Linked DNA regions of Saccharomyces cerevisiae S288C. The gene in region 1 interacts genetically with each later gene. Each region holds a gene or a part of one and is shown on either strand. Other genes may lie near its edges. The genes, in order: HOM2, MCK1, SSP2 and HOM6.

What was found.
Region 2: mutations in HOM2 (region 1) and MCK1 together harm fitness more than expected from each alone (negative genetic interaction), as found in Saccharomyces cerevisiae (3 studies listed by BioGRID).
Region 3: mutations in HOM2 (region 1) and SSP2 together harm fitness more than expected from each alone (negative genetic interaction), as found in Saccharomyces cerevisiae (2 studies listed by BioGRID).
Region 4: mutations in HOM2 (region 1) and HOM6 together harm fitness less than expected from each alone (positive genetic interaction), as found in Saccharomyces cerevisiae (5 studies listed by BioGRID, with this or other methods).

What each region holds. Positions count from the first base shown.
Region 1 is NC_001136.10:767,438-771,954, forward strand, and holds HOM2 (aspartate-semialdehyde dehydrogenase), read left to right. Parts: upstream 1-2,919; coding exon 2,920-4,017; downstream 4,018-4,517. Other genes in the region: ENT5 (Ent5p), read right to left, coding at 1-534; peptidylprolyl isomerase CPR1, read right to left, coding at 1,075-1,563; DNA-directed RNA polymerase I subunit RPA14, read left to right, coding at 2,088-2,501; YDR157W (uncharacterized protein), read left to right, coding at 2,494-2,895; SAC3 (Sac3p), read left to right, coding at 4,440-4,517. UniProt on the Saccharomyces cerevisiae protein: Catalyzes the NADPH-dependent formation of L-aspartate 4-semialdehyde (L-ASA) by the reductive dephosphorylation of 4-phospho-L-aspartate.
Region 2 is NC_001146.8:54,968-59,234, forward strand, and holds MCK1 (serine/threonine/tyrosine protein kinase MCK1), read right to left. Parts: upstream 2,607-4,267; coding exon 1,479-2,606; downstream 1-1,478. Other genes in the region: KRI1 (Kri1p), read right to left, coding at 1-930; mitochondrial 37S ribosomal protein uS11m MRPS18, read left to right, coding at 3,188-3,841; BXI1 (Bxi1p), read right to left, coding at 3,931-4,267. UniProt on the Saccharomyces cerevisiae protein: May be an autophosphorylating tyrosine kinase, a bifunctional (serine/tyrosine-specific) protein kinase, or a serine kinase that is a substrate for an associated tyrosine kinase.
Region 3 is NC_001147.6:788,242-791,545, reverse strand, and holds SSP2 (Ssp2p), read left to right. Parts: upstream 1-1,688; coding exon 1,689-2,804; downstream 2,805-3,304. Other genes in the region: pseudouridine synthase PUS7, read left to right, coding at 1-1,335; MET7 (tetrahydrofolate synthase), read right to left, coding at 2,905-3,304. UniProt on the Saccharomyces cerevisiae protein: Essential for sporulation and seems to have a role at the time of, or after, initiation of nuclear division. Appears to have a role in outer spore wall formation.
Region 4 is NC_001142.9:687,967-692,450, reverse strand, and holds HOM6 (homoserine dehydrogenase), read left to right. Parts: upstream 1-1,926; coding exon 1,927-3,006; downstream 3,007-4,484. Other genes in the region: HIR3 (Hir3p), read left to right, coding at 1-1,701; GTPase-activating protein IML1, read right to left, coding at 3,130-4,484. UniProt on the Saccharomyces cerevisiae protein: Catalyzes the conversion of L-aspartate-beta-semialdehyde (L-Asa) to L-homoserine (L-Hse), the third step in the biosynthesis of amino acids that derive from aspartate (the aspartate family of amino acids), including methioinine and threonine, the latter of which is a precursor to isoleucine; production of homoserine leads to a branch-point in the pathway as it can either be O-phosphorylated for processing to threonine, or O-acylated for processing to methionine.

The DNA.
Region 1 (4,517 bases):
TTGTGAGTCTTCCAAGTATTGCAAGATAAGTTCTCCCTTTTTCCTAATACCTCTCTCATGAATCTCCATTTTACCATCATTGGAGAATTTTACCTTGAATTGGGCAATCTCCCTGGTTAAAATATGCTTATGAGTGAGCAAACATGATCTAATCTGATTCAGTTCGTCACCTGTGTCGACGTTCAATAATAGGAATTCAATGACTACTAGACATTTTAAGACCACCCTCCATTCGGACCCATAATTAACGTAGTCCTTTCTTGCCTTTTCGTATAGGTTCTTGGGCCTGGTAGCGATATGGTCGACTAATCTTTTCAACGTGTATTCTGTCATCAAGTAGAGCGGCACTTGGTATCTGTTCCTTAAAACCTTGGCGAGGTGCTTCGGTGTGGGGCCCCAAGCATCGGTATTTGTAGCACGACGGATATCTATCTGATAAGGCTCATATTGGACTATCACGTTTTGGGCAAACCTTGCGGCATTTCTAATATCATGGATACCTAAATTTTGAATCTTTTTTGATAATGAGTCCATTTTGTATGGTGTTGGTATTTATGCAATTGGAACGTTTAATTTGTGTATATGAATTTCCCTTCCGATTTGTATATTGGATAGAAATATAATTTTTTAAAAAAAGTAAACTATAAGCAGCCTGGAAAGATAAGCTAGACCAATTCTTATTGATAAAAAACTAAAGATAAATTCAACCGAAAACTAAAATCTAGATTGAAATTAAAACAAGAATGAATGAATGGATCAAAGGACCTGAATATGAAAAAAAGTGCAGGAGAAAGAAAATTTTCTCGCTGTGGAAAATAAGCCGAAAATCCGTTACCTAGAGGAAAGAAAGAAACGTGGGAAAAACAGGGGGCGGTACCCGGCGGCGTCAACTTAACAGGCATAACCTAGGCGGTAGTTGGCTAGTTGGCAAGCCTGGCAACATACTCCGATATAGGTAGGAAGAGTTAGTTATAAGAATTGATTGTCATACATACACATACCTTATACATATACATATAATTTAAGAGAGAATAGTTCGTTTCAATTTTTGCTGTATTGTTCCAGGCAGAGCGGTTATAATTCACCGGACTTGGCAACAACAATTCTAGCCTTGGTGGCACCGGAAGGAGAACCCAAGGACTCAACCTTCTTAACGATGTCGTAACCGTCAACAACTTCACCAAAGACAACATGCTTACCGTCCAACCATGGGCATGGAACGGTGGTGATGAAGAATTGAGAACCGTTGGTGTTTGGACCGGCGTTGGCCATGGACAACAAACCTGGTCTGTCGTGGTGCTTCTTGAAGTTTTCATCTGGGAATTTGCCACCGTAGATAGACTTACCGCCGGTACCGTTACCAGCAGTGAAGTCACCACCTTGCAACATGAAGTCTGGAATAACTCTGTGGAATGGAGAGCCAGCGTAGCCGAATCCCTTTTCACCGGTACATAGAGCTCTGAAGTTTTCTGCAGTCTTTGGGACTATGTCGTTGTACAACTTGAAAACGACACGGCCAATTGGTTGGCCATCAGCTTCGACATCAAAATAGACTTGGGACATGGTAGTATTAGCGGTTGAGTTTGGATTGAGTTGAGATATTAAATTCAAGACAAATCTTAATATAACCTATCTAGCGAAAAAGGAGGAACAAATGATGACGACAGTGGCAAAAGGATAGAAGGCTCAAGAGAATACGTTTATATTTATACAGGGAATCGAACAGACACTTGTCAGCGTAAGCCCAACCAAAGTGAGAAGGGCCACGGCCATTACCAGAGACAGAAATGAGTGGAAGCGCGTGGAAGCCCGTCTAGCAGAGGAAGAAATTCGAGACGAGGCGGGACGTGGCGGGCTGGGCGCCCCAGAAAATACCGTAGAGGACGAGGGGGGCGGTGGAAACCCCTAAGGGGCGAAAGGCGGGTAACATCTAACAGCGACGGGTAAGCATATTGCGGGTGTAAAATTTTTCATTTCGAGCTTACTTCAAGATGATGCATATGTTTAAATCACATTGATTATAGAGGTCTCATCGGTAAGGCAGAGCAGAACTGGAGACGTCTGAGGTAAGATTTCGATAATACAAGATGATGAAAGGTTCTAGAAGAACAGGTAATAACACTGCTACCACGCTAAACACGCCTGTGGTCATTCATGCCACGCAGCTGCCCCAACATGTCTCTACTGACGAGGTTCTTCAATTTCTGGAGAGCTTTATCGATGAGAAGGAGAACATTATTGATAGTACTACCATGAATACCATCAGCGGCAACGCCGCTGACGCGGACGCTGCCGCTGTGGCTAACACCAGCCTCAACATCGACACCAACCTTTCCAGCTCCATATCGCAATTAAAGAGGATTCAGAGAGACTTCAAGGGTCTGCCACCCGCCCAAGACTTTTCCGCCGCGCCCATTCAGGTCTCCACGACGGAGAAGAAGGAGACAAGCATAGGTGTTAGTGCCACCGGCGGCAAGAAAACTACATTCGCCGATGAGTGAGACCTGTAGCAGCAGCCTTGCCCTTTTACACAAAATCCTACATATCCATTCACATACGCCTTCTGTATACTACAATATATGCATATCAGTTAGAATTCTGACATCTGAACGTCTTCAGTGCTTTTTTTTCTCTTTCTTTCCAGATCCAAATATCACCGGCAGCGGCCTCAAAGTACCCGGTTTTCTTTTTTTTCACACTTTTTTTTTTTCCAAATCATGTTGTCAAGCATTGATTGACTCATTTTCCTCTGACTACTACCAGTTCAAAATGTTAGAGAAAAATAGAAAAGCAGAAAAAATAAATAAAAGAACCATATTTATTTGTTCATTCACTTTCGAGTATAAAATTAAATCTTGTTTTTCTTGTTTTCACTTAAGTACACATACAAATTAAATTGTAGAAATAAAGCGTTCTAAAATGGCTGGAAAGAAAATTGCTGGTGTTTTGGGTGCTACTGGTTCCGTTGGTCAACGTTTCATTCTGTTGTTGGCAAATCACCCTCATTTCGAACTGAAAGTTCTTGGTGCCTCTTCTAGATCAGCTGGCAAGAAATACGTTGACGCTGTGAACTGGAAGCAAACCGATTTGCTACCGGAATCTGCTACCGATATTATTGTTTCCGAATGTAAATCTGAATTCTTTAAAGAGTGTGACATCGTCTTTTCCGGATTGGATGCTGACTATGCTGGCGCTATCGAAAAGGAATTCATGGAAGCTGGTATCGCCATTGTTTCCAATGCCAAGAATTATAGAAGAGAACAAGATGTGCCATTGATTGTTCCTGTTGTCAATCCTGAGCATTTGGATATTGTAGCTCAAAAGCTTGACACCGCCAAGGCTCAAGGTAAGCCAAGACCAGGGTTCATTATCTGTATTTCCAATTGTTCCACTGCAGGTTTGGTTGCACCATTGAAGCCTTTGATTGAAAAATTCGGTCCTATTGATGCTTTGACCACTACTACTTTGCAAGCAATCTCAGGTGCTGGTTTCTCCCCAGGTGTACCAGGTATTGATATTCTAGACAATATTATTCCATACATTGGTGGTGAAGAAGACAAGATGGAATGGGAGACCAAGAAAATCTTGGCTCCATTAGCAGAAGACAAGACACACGTCAAACTATTGACTCCAGAAGAAATCAAAGTCTCTGCTCAATGTAACAGAGTCGCTGTTTCCGATGGGCACACCGAATGTATCTCTTTGAGGTTCAAGAACAGACCTGCTCCATCCGTCGAGCAAGTCAAGACATGCCTAAAAGAATACGTCTGCGATGCCTACAAATTAGGCTGTCATTCTGCTCCAAAGCAAACTATTCATGTTTTGGAACAACCAGACAGACCTCAACCAAGGTTGGACAGGAACAGAGACAGCGGTTACGGTGTTTCCGTTGGTAGAATCAGAGAAGACCCATTGTTAGATTTCAAAATGGTTGTCCTTTCCCACAACACCATTATTGGTGCCGCTGGTTCTGGTGTCTTGATTGCCGAAATCTTACTAGCAAGAAACTTGATTTAAGGAAAAATTGCAAAGTTATGTCTTCATCTTACTTTTTTTTCGAACGAACAAAAAATACAAAACAAGTAAATAAGTATATGTGTATGAATATACGTATAATAATTTGAAACGTAGATCTTTATTATTAGTTTCTTGAGTTTCGAGAATTCGTGATTCAATGTTCATTATTTTTTCTTTTCTTTTCTTTTCAATAGTATAATACCAAGCCTTTATTATTTTTCTTCCACTTCAAGAAAAGGTAATTCTCTCGCTGACCCAAGAAAAAAGCTAAACAGAGAGCGTAGTGATGCATACAAACAACTCATTTACATGGGAAAAAAAAGGAGAGAGGAAAGCAGCAGACATATCTCAAAGCTGGGATACACTCACAATAGCACTGTTGGTACTCATTTCAGGTAATACTCTTGGAAGGTATCCCTTAAATGAACACATCATTTGGCTCAGTAGTGCCTTCCACTAATTTCAATTTTTTCAAAGGGCATGGAAATAATGATAACACT
Region 2 (4,267 bases), on another chromosome or scaffold:
CTCCTTCTCTGCTTTTATTTGCTCTTTAATTTTTCTTTTTTCCTCTCTTTTTCTTCTGCGTGAAGAGTCATCGGATCTTCTTAGTGTAGCTTGACTACGTGCATAAGATATAATTTCAGCTGCGTTTGGGTCCTCGTACCTAAAATTGTAGGCATTCTCAAATTTTTCTGCAGCATCTTCAAATTCTTCATCGTCCTCTTCATTATTGTTGAGGTCAAGAGAAATCACCTTGTCCCCCTTCTTAGGAATCCAGGCCTGTTGATTCACAAATTCTTCCAAGAAATTTTCTTCATTTACGGTTGGATCCGGTAAATTTTTTCCTTCCTTCTTCGTAGAAGGTTCCTTTTTCTTCAAAAACCCATCGTCTTCATCTCCGCTAGACTCTTCATTTTCTTCATCGCTAAAGGCACTCTTGATTTCATTTAAAAGCTGAGTTTTCTCTTCACGTTGTTGCGAGACGAAAGATTGCTTTCCGTCAACAGTTGCATGTTCGTATTCTTCGTCATCCTCCTTTAAGGCATCACCAGAAAGTATGTTCATACGGTGATAATCTTTTAGGTAAATAGGTTTATGCTTCCCCTCACGATTGGCCAGTTTGGCAGCAGCAGATTCGGGATCCTCGAAGAATTTGACTTTAGGATCTAGTAGTTTGTCCGTCTTATTGTTTTTGATGGCATCTAGCACTTGATTAATACCGTTTTCCACTTCATCAGTAATCAATTCACCGTAATCATCTTCCTCCTCTTCTTCCTCTTCGTCTTCTTCCTCATCTTCACTAGGAACGTACGATTTGCTTGCTTCGATTGCAGGCTTAACTGTCGTCGCAGAGGTTTCAGAAGTTTTTATGGTAGCAGTATCCGTTGCAGGTACGGCCGCTTCTTTTTTTGCTTGTTCTCTAGCTCTTTTAGCGGCAGACTTTTTTCTTGGCATTGAATTTAGGGTATATCACACTGTTGTTGAAAACTATGAGCATTTTGCTTTCTGAAGAAATGGTTCTGTTAACTAGATGAGATGAGATTGATATATTTGAAAAATTTTAACCGATGACCTTGCGGCTCCTCCGGGTAATACTTTTTTCTCACATAAATATCAAAAAATAACGACGGTATTTCAATAATACTTTTATATAAGTAATGATAACATGCGAGGCAATTTATTACAAGCCACGTAGGCCTAATTAAAATTATAAACTAACACTAAAGTAATAATAATATTTCAGATTAATAAAAGAACAGGAAATAGGAAAGAGATAAAAAAAAATTAGGAACATAAAATAAAAAATAAAGAAGAAATTGAAGGAGTGACTGGATAAAAGAAGTGTATGATAATATCAAATGGAAATTTGAATATATTTTATTCCAAAAAATTTTTTTTCTTTTCCAAGTGAAATATAAACAGCGGATCAAAGGTGAAAAAAATCATAGTATTTTGTTCATTAAATTTTCCGAGGGGAAAGAGAACAAATTAATAGAAAATTATTATTCAGCAACTTTCGTAGGTTTAATTTTATCAGCAAATTCACCCAGAATTTGTAACTCAAAATCATTAAAATCAAACAAATTTGGTAGCTTGATTGGTTCAGTGAAACCTCTTGGTAAGAAAGTGTCATCATTCCTTAATTCATTAAAGAACTGATGGGCAAGGATTCTTCTTGGAGACAGTCTTTGTTGTGGTTCGTAGACCAATATTTTCATCAAAAGATCGATACCATCTGGACCGGAATGGCCAAAATACTTCTCAAACCTCTGTTGCGAAGAGCCCGAGAACAGTGGTTTGGAAAATAGAGGGCCATCGTAGGCCGGATTCGAAAAGAAAATGAATCTTTTATCGGGAGGACCTAACAATTTAGCAATTTCCCTTAGCTGTAGAAGGGGTTCTTGACCTTGAAATATGGCTTTGCCGATAAGCATCTCGCCCATGACACAACCAAGCCCCCATATATCGATCTGGGTGGTATATTGGGTACAACCAATGATCAATTCAGGCGCTCTATAAAATCTTGAACAGATGTAACTAATTGAAGGCTGGTTATGTTCCAATTTTTTGGCAGACCCAAAATCGCAGATTTTCAAGACACCGGTTTCCGGGTCTACAAGAACATTGGATGGTTTGATATCACGATGACAAACGCCAAGACCGTGTAAATAAAGCATCCCGCGGGCAATCTGATAAGTGTATAGCCTGATATGTTTTAATGGCATTTCTAGCTTGTTTGTCACATAACGATTAATCTCGATTTGTAGAGTTTCTGGTAAGCATTCCATGGCAAGGTGTTGATAAACTTTATTATCTTGCGGGGACAAATGAGTAAAGAAATACTGCAATTTAACGATATTTGGATGGTCGGCAATCCTCAGAATCTGTAATTCCCTGGACTTGTACTCGGTATGAGCAGGGACTTTTTTAATTGCAAAGGGGCCCAACCAGTTTTTCTTATCCTGGGTTAAATATGCTTGTACAACAGTCCCAAAGGCACCTCTACCGATTTTCCTGTACTCTTTCACCAGCATCCGCCTCGTGTTGTTCGATTTATTCGAGGTTACATCGTCTGCAATGAATTCAGATCCCCTTTGCAGAGGAACACCATTCTGCTCTTCCGTAGACATATGTACTAGAATGTGATGGAGTGGGGGTTTCGGAAAATAAAAAGAAAATTGAAAGATGAAGCAAAGAACTCTGTAGTCTTGGGCTTAACTCCTATCAATAAACACGTTACGGGCCTGCCCACACTACTAACACGACACAATGGCACTCACTTGCGAAATCTATGTCGTTTTCCCTTGGAGGTTACGCCTGCCCTCTTCCGCATATGAAGGTCGCTTTTTTCAGTGTTGTTTGTGGGTCACTGAACTGTCATTACATACGAACTGAGTGGAAGCAAGAATGCTGCTTTCGAAAGCCACTACAGCTACGTGTGATCATATAATTCCTGCATAATATGGCTGCATGCTTTTTAATGATAGCTTCAATTATGATGATAATCACTGAGCTACTAGTATTCCATTATTCAGCCTAAGATTGGAACTTTCTATAGCAGCGGAGAGTGTTTGTTTCGTACTTCGTGACTGTTTGGCATAATAACGATGAATTGGGAAAGAGGGAAGACAAAATGAGAGTAAATCAGGTGGAAAGCAGTGGTTCTTCTGAAAAGAAAAAGTGACAGTGTGAACTGTTATAGTTACGTGTGATGCTGTTACAACCTGTTTGGAAAGGCTGCCGATGGACGCAGTTTGTCAGGCCTATCAGAAGATGGAATTCTACCGGCACGAATAGAGGAGTTCCTTTTTCATTTAAGGATATTTCAAATCAGGAGGATATCACGAATATCTCGTATCCTTCGTCCTCTGACTCAGTTTTGACAAAGTCAAATGGTAGTAGTGAGGTTTACAAGCCCAAAGAGGAAGTAGTTAAGTACATTCTACATGGCAAGTTTACTAAAAATAACACGCATTTGACATTTTCAAGCGTTGTGGAGGACAAGAACTTTCATAAGAATAAGGGACTTACGTATAATGATACAATGCTGTACTATTTGAACTTACCCCAGAAAGTGAAGATTTCGCTATCTACAGGTTGTTTAGGGTTTAGGAAGGCAGCAAGAGGGGAGTATGAAGCTGCATTTCAAACCAGTGGTAGAATGTTTGAATTGATTAAGGAAAAGAACATGCTGAACAAAGATATCGAAGTGGTGATGGACGACTTTGGGAAGGGCAGAGCTGCTTTTATTTCCGCTCTTGTTGGTAAGGAAGGGGCCAGTGTGGTGAAAAAGGTTGTGAAGATCAGCGATGCCACCAAATTGAAGTTTGGTGGTGTAAGATCACCAAAGATGAGAAGACTATGATCAGCTCCCACTATGTATGAATTATAAACTATGTAAAAGAAGAAGAAATATATATATATTCGTGTAAATAATTCGATTTTTCCCTTTTTTTAATTGTCGTCGTTAGAGTTGGCCAAAATCCTTAAAATAGACAAAAACAAATTGACGATGTCCAGGTAAAGCATCATGGCGCATCTAACTTCTTCATCAGGATACACTTTCCTAAAAATCAGTTGCGTATCGATGAAAAGATACGCGGTAAATAAAATGGCACCAAGCCAGCCGTAAAGCAGATTAAACTTGGAAGAGTGGGTATTCCAGCCGAAAAGCAAGGCCGTGAGACCCATTCCGATCATAATCCATAGACCCCAGTTTAACCAATAGTATATTGACGTTGCGGAATTCAGCACGTTCTCGAATCTCTCTGATAGTGCGGTCAAGGAAACG
Region 3 (3,304 bases), on another chromosome or scaffold:
GAAGCTGTCAATGTTATAACAAAGTTGTTAAGAGTTCCAAGCCGTGTAATTAGATATGCAGGTACTAAGGATCGTAGAGCAGTAACGTGCCAAAGGGTTTCGATTTCAAAGATTGGTTTGGATAGACTAAATGCTTTAAATAGGACTTTAAAAGGAATGATTATCGGAAATTACAATTTTTCGGATGCAAGTTTGAATCTGGGAGACTTGAAGGGAAATGAGTTCGTTGTTGTTATTAGAGATGTTACCACCGGCAATAGTGAGGTATCACTGGAAGAAATTGTGTCTAACGGCTGTAAGTCTTTATCAGAAAATGGGTTTATCAATTATTTTGGTATGCAGAGATTCGGTACATTCAGTATTTCTACGCACACAATTGGTAGAGAATTGCTCCTTTCAAACTGGAAGAAGGCTGCTGAGTTGATTTTATCTGACCAGGATAACGTGCTTCCTAAATCTAAGGAAGCTAGGAAGATTTGGGCAGAAACTAAGGACGCGGCTTTAGCATTGAAGCAGATGCCAAGACAGTGTCTCGCAGAAAATGCGTTACTATATTCTTTATCTAATCAAAGAAAAGAAGAAGATGGAACTTATTCTGAGAACGCTTATTATACTGCTATTATGAAAATTCCCAGAAATTTGAGAACTATGTATGTACATGCCTACCAAAGTTACGTCTGGAATTCTATTGCTAGTAAGCGGATAGAACTACATGGTTTGAAGTTAGTTGTAGGTGACCTTGTCATTGATACTAGTGAAAAGTCACCACTAATTTCTGGGATTGACGATGAAGACTTTGATGAAGATGTCCGTGAAGCTCAGTTCATTCGTGCAAAAGCAGTAACTCAAGAGGATATCGACTCAGTTAAGTATACCATGGAAGATGTCGTGTTACCATCGCCGGGTTTTGATGTGCTTTATCCTTCCAACGAAGAATTGAAGCAACTGTATGTGGATATATTGAAAGCAGATAATATGGACCCATTTAATATGAGAAGAAAAGTTCGCGATTTTTCATTGGCTGGCTCTTATAGAACTGTTATTCAAAAGCCAAAGAGTTTAGAGTATAGAATAATTCACTATGATGATCCTTCTCAACAATTGGTGAACACTGATTTGGACATCCTGAATAACACCAGAGCAAAAGAAAGCGGCCAGAAGTATATGAAAGCCAAGTTGGACAGATATATGCCAGATAAAGGCGGTGAGAAGACTGCGGTGGTGTTAAAATTTCAATTAGGAACCTCCGCATATGCCACCATGGCATTACGTGAACTCATGAAGCTTGAGACTTCTCGCCGTGGCGACATGTGTGATGTTAAGGAGAATATCTAAGGTTATACGAGGTGCAATATTCATGTATATTAGTTTACTTTTTTTGTCGGAAGCTCTTTCCCTCATACACTATTGTTGTGTCCGTGTCGTGTCACTTCAGGCGTCGGTAAATATGTATCTGCGCATCGCACACAAAGATAAAGCCTTTTTAAATATAAACAACACCTTCTAGATATATCTTATCAAAGGATACAACCACGTTTCTCAACAAGAAGGACCTAATAGAGGAAAATTATTATACTGTAGCTATCAATATTTTATAAACAAAAAGACAGATATATTCTCGCGTATTGAAGTCGGGAATCCAACGAAGGTAAAATAATAATAAAATACGAAGCATTTAATCCGGTCAAATGTACAAGAACTATTATTCAAACACAGAAGTTTATAAAAAGCATAAAGACTCTGGAAGTTTGAGGAAGAAAGCTTTGAGATCGAGAAGATCATCTTTTTTTTCATTTTTCAATGACTCGTCTAGTTCGAATGGAAACGAATTCATAGGTTTTAGACGATTTGCAAAAGCATATCTGTTTGGTCGTGAGATAGGTTCATGTGGTACAGATTCATATACACCAGTTGGGGCAAATGTAAACAAAAGACGTTTAAAAAAAGAAGATAAAAACGATCAACAGCTTTGGAAAAGGCAGCACCATTCACAGGGTTGTTTTTTTCCCATAGATGATGACAGTAATAAGCAAACAGAAGCAGCCGTCAACAAATTTTATGAGAATGGAGAATACGTTAATCAGGATTTAATTTTCAAGGGAAAAGTATATTCAGAAGAATCAGAGGTTGTTGATGAGAAAACGGCAGGTTCTCAGAATCCCGCTCTTCTCAAAACAAGATCAATTTCATTAAACGATATACCGCGCGGCACAGGCATCTCTAGTGTATTGTCTCAAGTACGCGGAGGTTCCTTAGAAAGAATTATTGTCTATAGGTACGATACTCCGGAACGTTCTTTGCATAAAGTTGATCTTTTCTTCTTAAATTACGAGGGAGCTCAATCTTTTATGAGATACGCAAAAACAAATATTTTTAAAGTTAATGGAGTTCAATTAAAACCAGAATGGATATTCCTCGAGAGCACATATGAAAACATAATGAAAGAGCAATCTGTCAACAGAATAATAGAAGAGGAAAAGTTCATATCAAGATGTTTGATAGTGAAAAAAAGCTCGACAACAGCAATGCCTAACAAATCAAATCTGAATAAAGGGCAAACTTTAGAAAACATTGATATTCAAGAATTAGAAAAAGATTTTCAGAATTTTGGAGAGGTTCTAGAAATTACGCCTATTGTATCAAGAAAATTATGCGTATCTATATTCTTTTACGATATTTCCAGTGCTATGAGAGCTATGGAAGAATACGAACAAAAGGGCTCATATCTATATAATAAATATTTTAAAACATGGACAATATGGTACGGGAAAGATATTACAGACCAGCCTTGCATTGACTTGTAGTACGAATTTTTAAGTTGATAACTAAATTACTCTTCAACAAATAAATAAATGCAAATGAAGTCCATTATGTACGATTTTTAAAGTGCAAGTTACTTTCAAATTACTTTACATCTATTCTATCAAAAACGACCAATAATCCGCCAACAAGATGTAATGAACCAGTTACAAATATATCAGCAGGTTCATCGTATAGCGTTTCAATCAATTCATTTGCTTCCTCTATACTAGCCGTTACATGCGTTTTAGCACGATTATCGTCTATTTTGTTCCAATTCTTGACTAATGACTCCTGGACTTTCAATTTTTCTACATCTTCTTGAGAAGTGTTCATGGAAACGAGGTCAGCGCTGTATGAGCCTGATTTCCAAGTGACATTAGTAGTAAATATCACATCATCGAACGTTATTTCTGGCGAAACAGATGAGTACAGGTTATTCACAAGAGCGTTGGCATCTCTGCTTTGTTGGTTGAAGAGCAAGATCTTCTTTCTCTTCGACAAT
Region 4 (4,484 bases), on another chromosome or scaffold:
TTGTTCTACGTATCCAGCTTACAGTCCCTGGGTTTGTATAAAATGAGAAAGAAGTCTATGCAAGCAAGACCTTCTGAATTAGACTCCATTATCAGAATGTTAAAGAATGACATTATATACAACACAAACCGTTTCGAAAGTTGGATATTACTCGGAAAGTGTTACAGTTATATTGTTGAAGATGATTTAATATGGACCTCAGATAAGATCACTGTCCCTGAGAAAAAAGATGTTATTGCTTTGACTCAAAGAAAGGCAATATTGTGTTATTTAATGGCCATTTCCATTTATTATAGTAAGTTGGATCGAACTATTGACGATAAAAAGATTATATTGGAGGCATTGGATGACTTAGGATCTATGCTGATTAGCGGCTACTATAATCCCATGAATAAGCTTTGTTTTAGCTGGAAAAGCAGTGCTGAGAATACAATGAGATTGTCTGAAACCGGTGAAGTAGTAATGGAAAAAACTAAGAAAATCACCACAATCTCAGACTTTAACATCGAGCAAAGTATATTTTTATGTTTTAATAGGGCTTGTTCTTTATCCGGCGATATCAAGTCACAGGACGATGTATTCGTGTTGAATTGGTCTAGTTTTTACAATCTGGCCAAGTTCTTTTTCAAAACAGATGGTGGTAATAATTGTAAATTAGTTGCCAAATATATTACTCAGGGTTGCCAAATAGCTTATGAGTCATCACCTGCTAAAGATCCGATCATAGAACCCCATTATCTGTTAGTTAATGCTTGTTACAAGTGGGTAAAAAGAGGCGTCATAGGTGTTAACGAAGCTCTGACCTTACTGTCTAAAGATAACCAATTCTTCCAGGAACAAGAGGAATTTTGGGTCAACGACGAAGGTCTTGCATGGGATTATCAAGAAAAATTCTTTTTTGACAAAATCATAAGACTACTTCGCCATTTACTATCTGTTGATAAAAAAAAATGGCAGCACAGACCTCGTTACAGAATAGCGCGCATATTGTTTGACGATTTGGGTGATGTGAACGGTGCTTTGGAGGAGATGGATAGCTTAATATCCGCAAAAAGTATAAACAAAAACTTGGTCAATATATGGAAACCAGATTTTGAAAGGCCAGGGAAACATTTCATCTATACTTACCAGTACCTGGTTTTGTATTTGGATTTACTCTTCGCAATAAAAGACTTCAATACAACAGGTCTTGTTATAAAAAAGCTAAGGCGATTTGGTTCTGGAACTGTGAACGTAAACGAACTATTAGAGCGTGCCATTAATGTGTACACGCAAAGTGCCAAAATCAAGCTGCAATTGCAAGACAAGAGCTACGTGGAGCAAATCCTTCCAACCTTGAACTACCAAGAATTCCTGAAGATTAGTGAGCAACTGAACCAAGTTTTCGACCAAGGAAAGTACCCTGAAGAAATATCATCCGGGTTAAAACTTGCTTTCCAGTTGAAAAAGGGACATAGCGGAATTGCATTTGACAGCGTTTGCTTGGGCATTTATTTCGAGTATCTCTATTTTCCTCTAGCTCGACAGGATCAATCCCTCACAGACGTGAACGATGAAAACAATCCAGCACTACCGTCATCAGGTTCTGTGACATCAAAAAGCACTCCAGACCCTACTTCTAAGCCAAGTGCAATTAAGAAACGTGTTACAAAGAAGGAAGTCTTCGATAGAGTGAGGCTATTAGTGGATAAGATCACGTGAGTTTTTCAATAACGCACATGGTGGTGTACGGGTGTGTTGATGACCATATTTTGGAAGAAGTGTGCCCTGGTGGTAAAGTTGGGTTGAATGGAACAGAAATGTATAAAGAATATGTAAATATTGCGGTTAGCGATAGACAATTTGTTGAAGCTAAATCTTCTGTGTGTGTACTCAGGACTGTTTTAAGAACGTAGATAGTATCATCAATCGAATAATAAAAAAAAAATGAGCACTAAAGTTGTTAATGTTGCCGTTATCGGTGCCGGTGTTGTTGGTTCAGCTTTCTTGGATCAATTGTTAGCCATGAAGTCTACCATTACTTACAATCTAGTTCTTTTGGCTGAAGCTGAGCGTTCTTTAATCTCCAAGGACTTTTCTCCATTAAATGTTGGTTCTGATTGGAAGGCTGCTTTAGCAGCCTCCACTACTAAAACGTTGCCTTTGGATGATTTAATTGCTCATTTGAAGACTTCACCTAAGCCAGTCATTTTGGTTGATAACACTTCCAGCGCTTACATTGCTGGTTTTTACACTAAGTTTGTCGAAAATGGTATTTCCATTGCTACTCCAAACAAGAAGGCCTTTTCCTCTGATTTGGCTACCTGGAAGGCTCTTTTCTCAAATAAGCCAACTAACGGTTTTGTCTATCATGAAGCTACCGTCGGTGCTGGTTTGCCTATCATCAGTTTCTTAAGAGAAATTATTCAAACCGGTGACGAAGTTGAAAAAATTGAAGGTATCTTCTCTGGTACTCTATCTTATATTTTCAACGAGTTCTCCACTAGTCAAGCTAACGACGTCAAATTCTCTGATGTTGTCAAAGTTGCTAAAAAATTGGGTTATACTGAACCAGATCCAAGAGATGATTTGAATGGGTTGGATGTTGCTAGAAAGGTTACCATTGTTGGTAGGATATCTGGTGTGGAAGTTGAATCTCCAACTTCCTTCCCTGTCCAGTCTTTGATTCCAAAACCATTGGAATCTGTCAAGTCTGCTGATGAATTCTTGGAAAAATTATCTGATTACGATAAAGATTTGACTCAATTGAAGAAGGAAGCTGCCACTGAAAATAAGGTATTGAGATTCATTGGTAAAGTCGATGTTGCCACCAAATCTGTGTCTGTAGGAATTGAAAAGTACGATTACTCACACCCATTCGCATCATTGAAGGGATCAGATAACGTTATTTCCATCAAGACTAAGCGTTACACCAATCCTGTTGTCATTCAAGGTGCCGGTGCCGGTGCTGCCGTTACTGCCGCTGGTGTTTTGGGTGATGTTATCAAGATTGCTCAAAGACTTTAGATCAGTAAACAGACATATAAAAACATAGGTATATTTATATATAAATAGATAACATTATGCTTTACTATCCACGTTCGAATATTATTTACTTTGTGAAGAAACTCATCCATGTCATGGGGCTACTCAATCTTCTACAATCTTTCCTGTAATCCACATTTCCTTTGCGTCAAGGAAAATTGACCTTAACTTCTGATAGTCCAAGCAAGTTGATTTGAAATTTAGGATCACTTTTTGAGCATCTAATGAAGAGCTTGAAGCAGAATGAATTTTCCCGATTATGTTTCCCGGATTCACTCTGGATATATAAATGTTGTTAGGAGCTAAAAATAGGCAGCCATTTTCCCTCAATTCCGCGACGTAAGCACCCGTATGATGAATATATTGAACATATTTGAACTGTGGTTTGCCCCATGAATACATGATGTCAAACTCTATATCTTGATTTTGTAAAAATTTGGATGCCCTATTGTCTAATAAAAACCCAGATGCCTTTAAAAGATAAACGTGGTAGTAGAATTTGCTTTTAGCGAAAAGCTCCCTATCCTTGAACTCAGGATCTTCCCAAGGATTGATAGCTAACTTAATTTCCACAAAAGAGTGAAATGGATTGACCGAAGGGATAGTACAAAGTTCTTCCCAAGGAATTTCAATCATTTTCAAACCGTACCTTTCGCATAACCTTGACCAGTTCCCAACCAAATCATCGATCAATTTTGGGGTGGTAGTCAACCATTCCAATCTTATGTGAAAACAGTGGTCGGGGTTATGAACTCTGTCATAATGGACTGTACACGATTCTTGTTTCGAGGATTTTCCCGCGGGATCAACATCGATAACAAGAGAGTTACTCAGCATTAAAATAGGGCGTGATGGCTCTTTGGCGTCAGCAACTGAAGCATTCGAAGCGCTTATAGCAGGTACTACTGAAGAAAAAGGAGTCATAGCGCTTGGATCGTTTGAGCTACCAGTGGATGCTTTTCTCAACATCTGCTTTGGATCGGATAATGTAGAGCGATGGGAGTTTGTTTTTTCTAGTTTATTAGTGTCCATTACGTATTCAGGTGAGAACTGGTAAAAGTAGTGCCCGTCCAAAAAATTGTGCTTATTTAAAACGTGAACAAATAATCCCTCTTTCATCACCTTCTGCCCATATTTAATTGCATCTTCTCGAGTATCTATATCAGAGAAGTTTCTTATGAGCCAATTAACCATCTCCGAGCCAACAAAACACTTTTCATGCTTTTTCCAGTGCCATTTTCTGTTGACTAAAGTAATGCGATCTTCGCCACGTTGAATTTGATACGCCAACTTGGATAGTTCTACATTTCTGTTTAAAAGGTTATTATCATTAACAAAAATTGAATCTTTAAAATTTATAGCCGAGCTTTCTAAAGATGTTTGTTGCTCATTAATGAAGTTGTAAAGCGGGCCGGTGTAAAACATAACTTCAGGCTGTATTTCTTCTCTCTTAGTTTTTC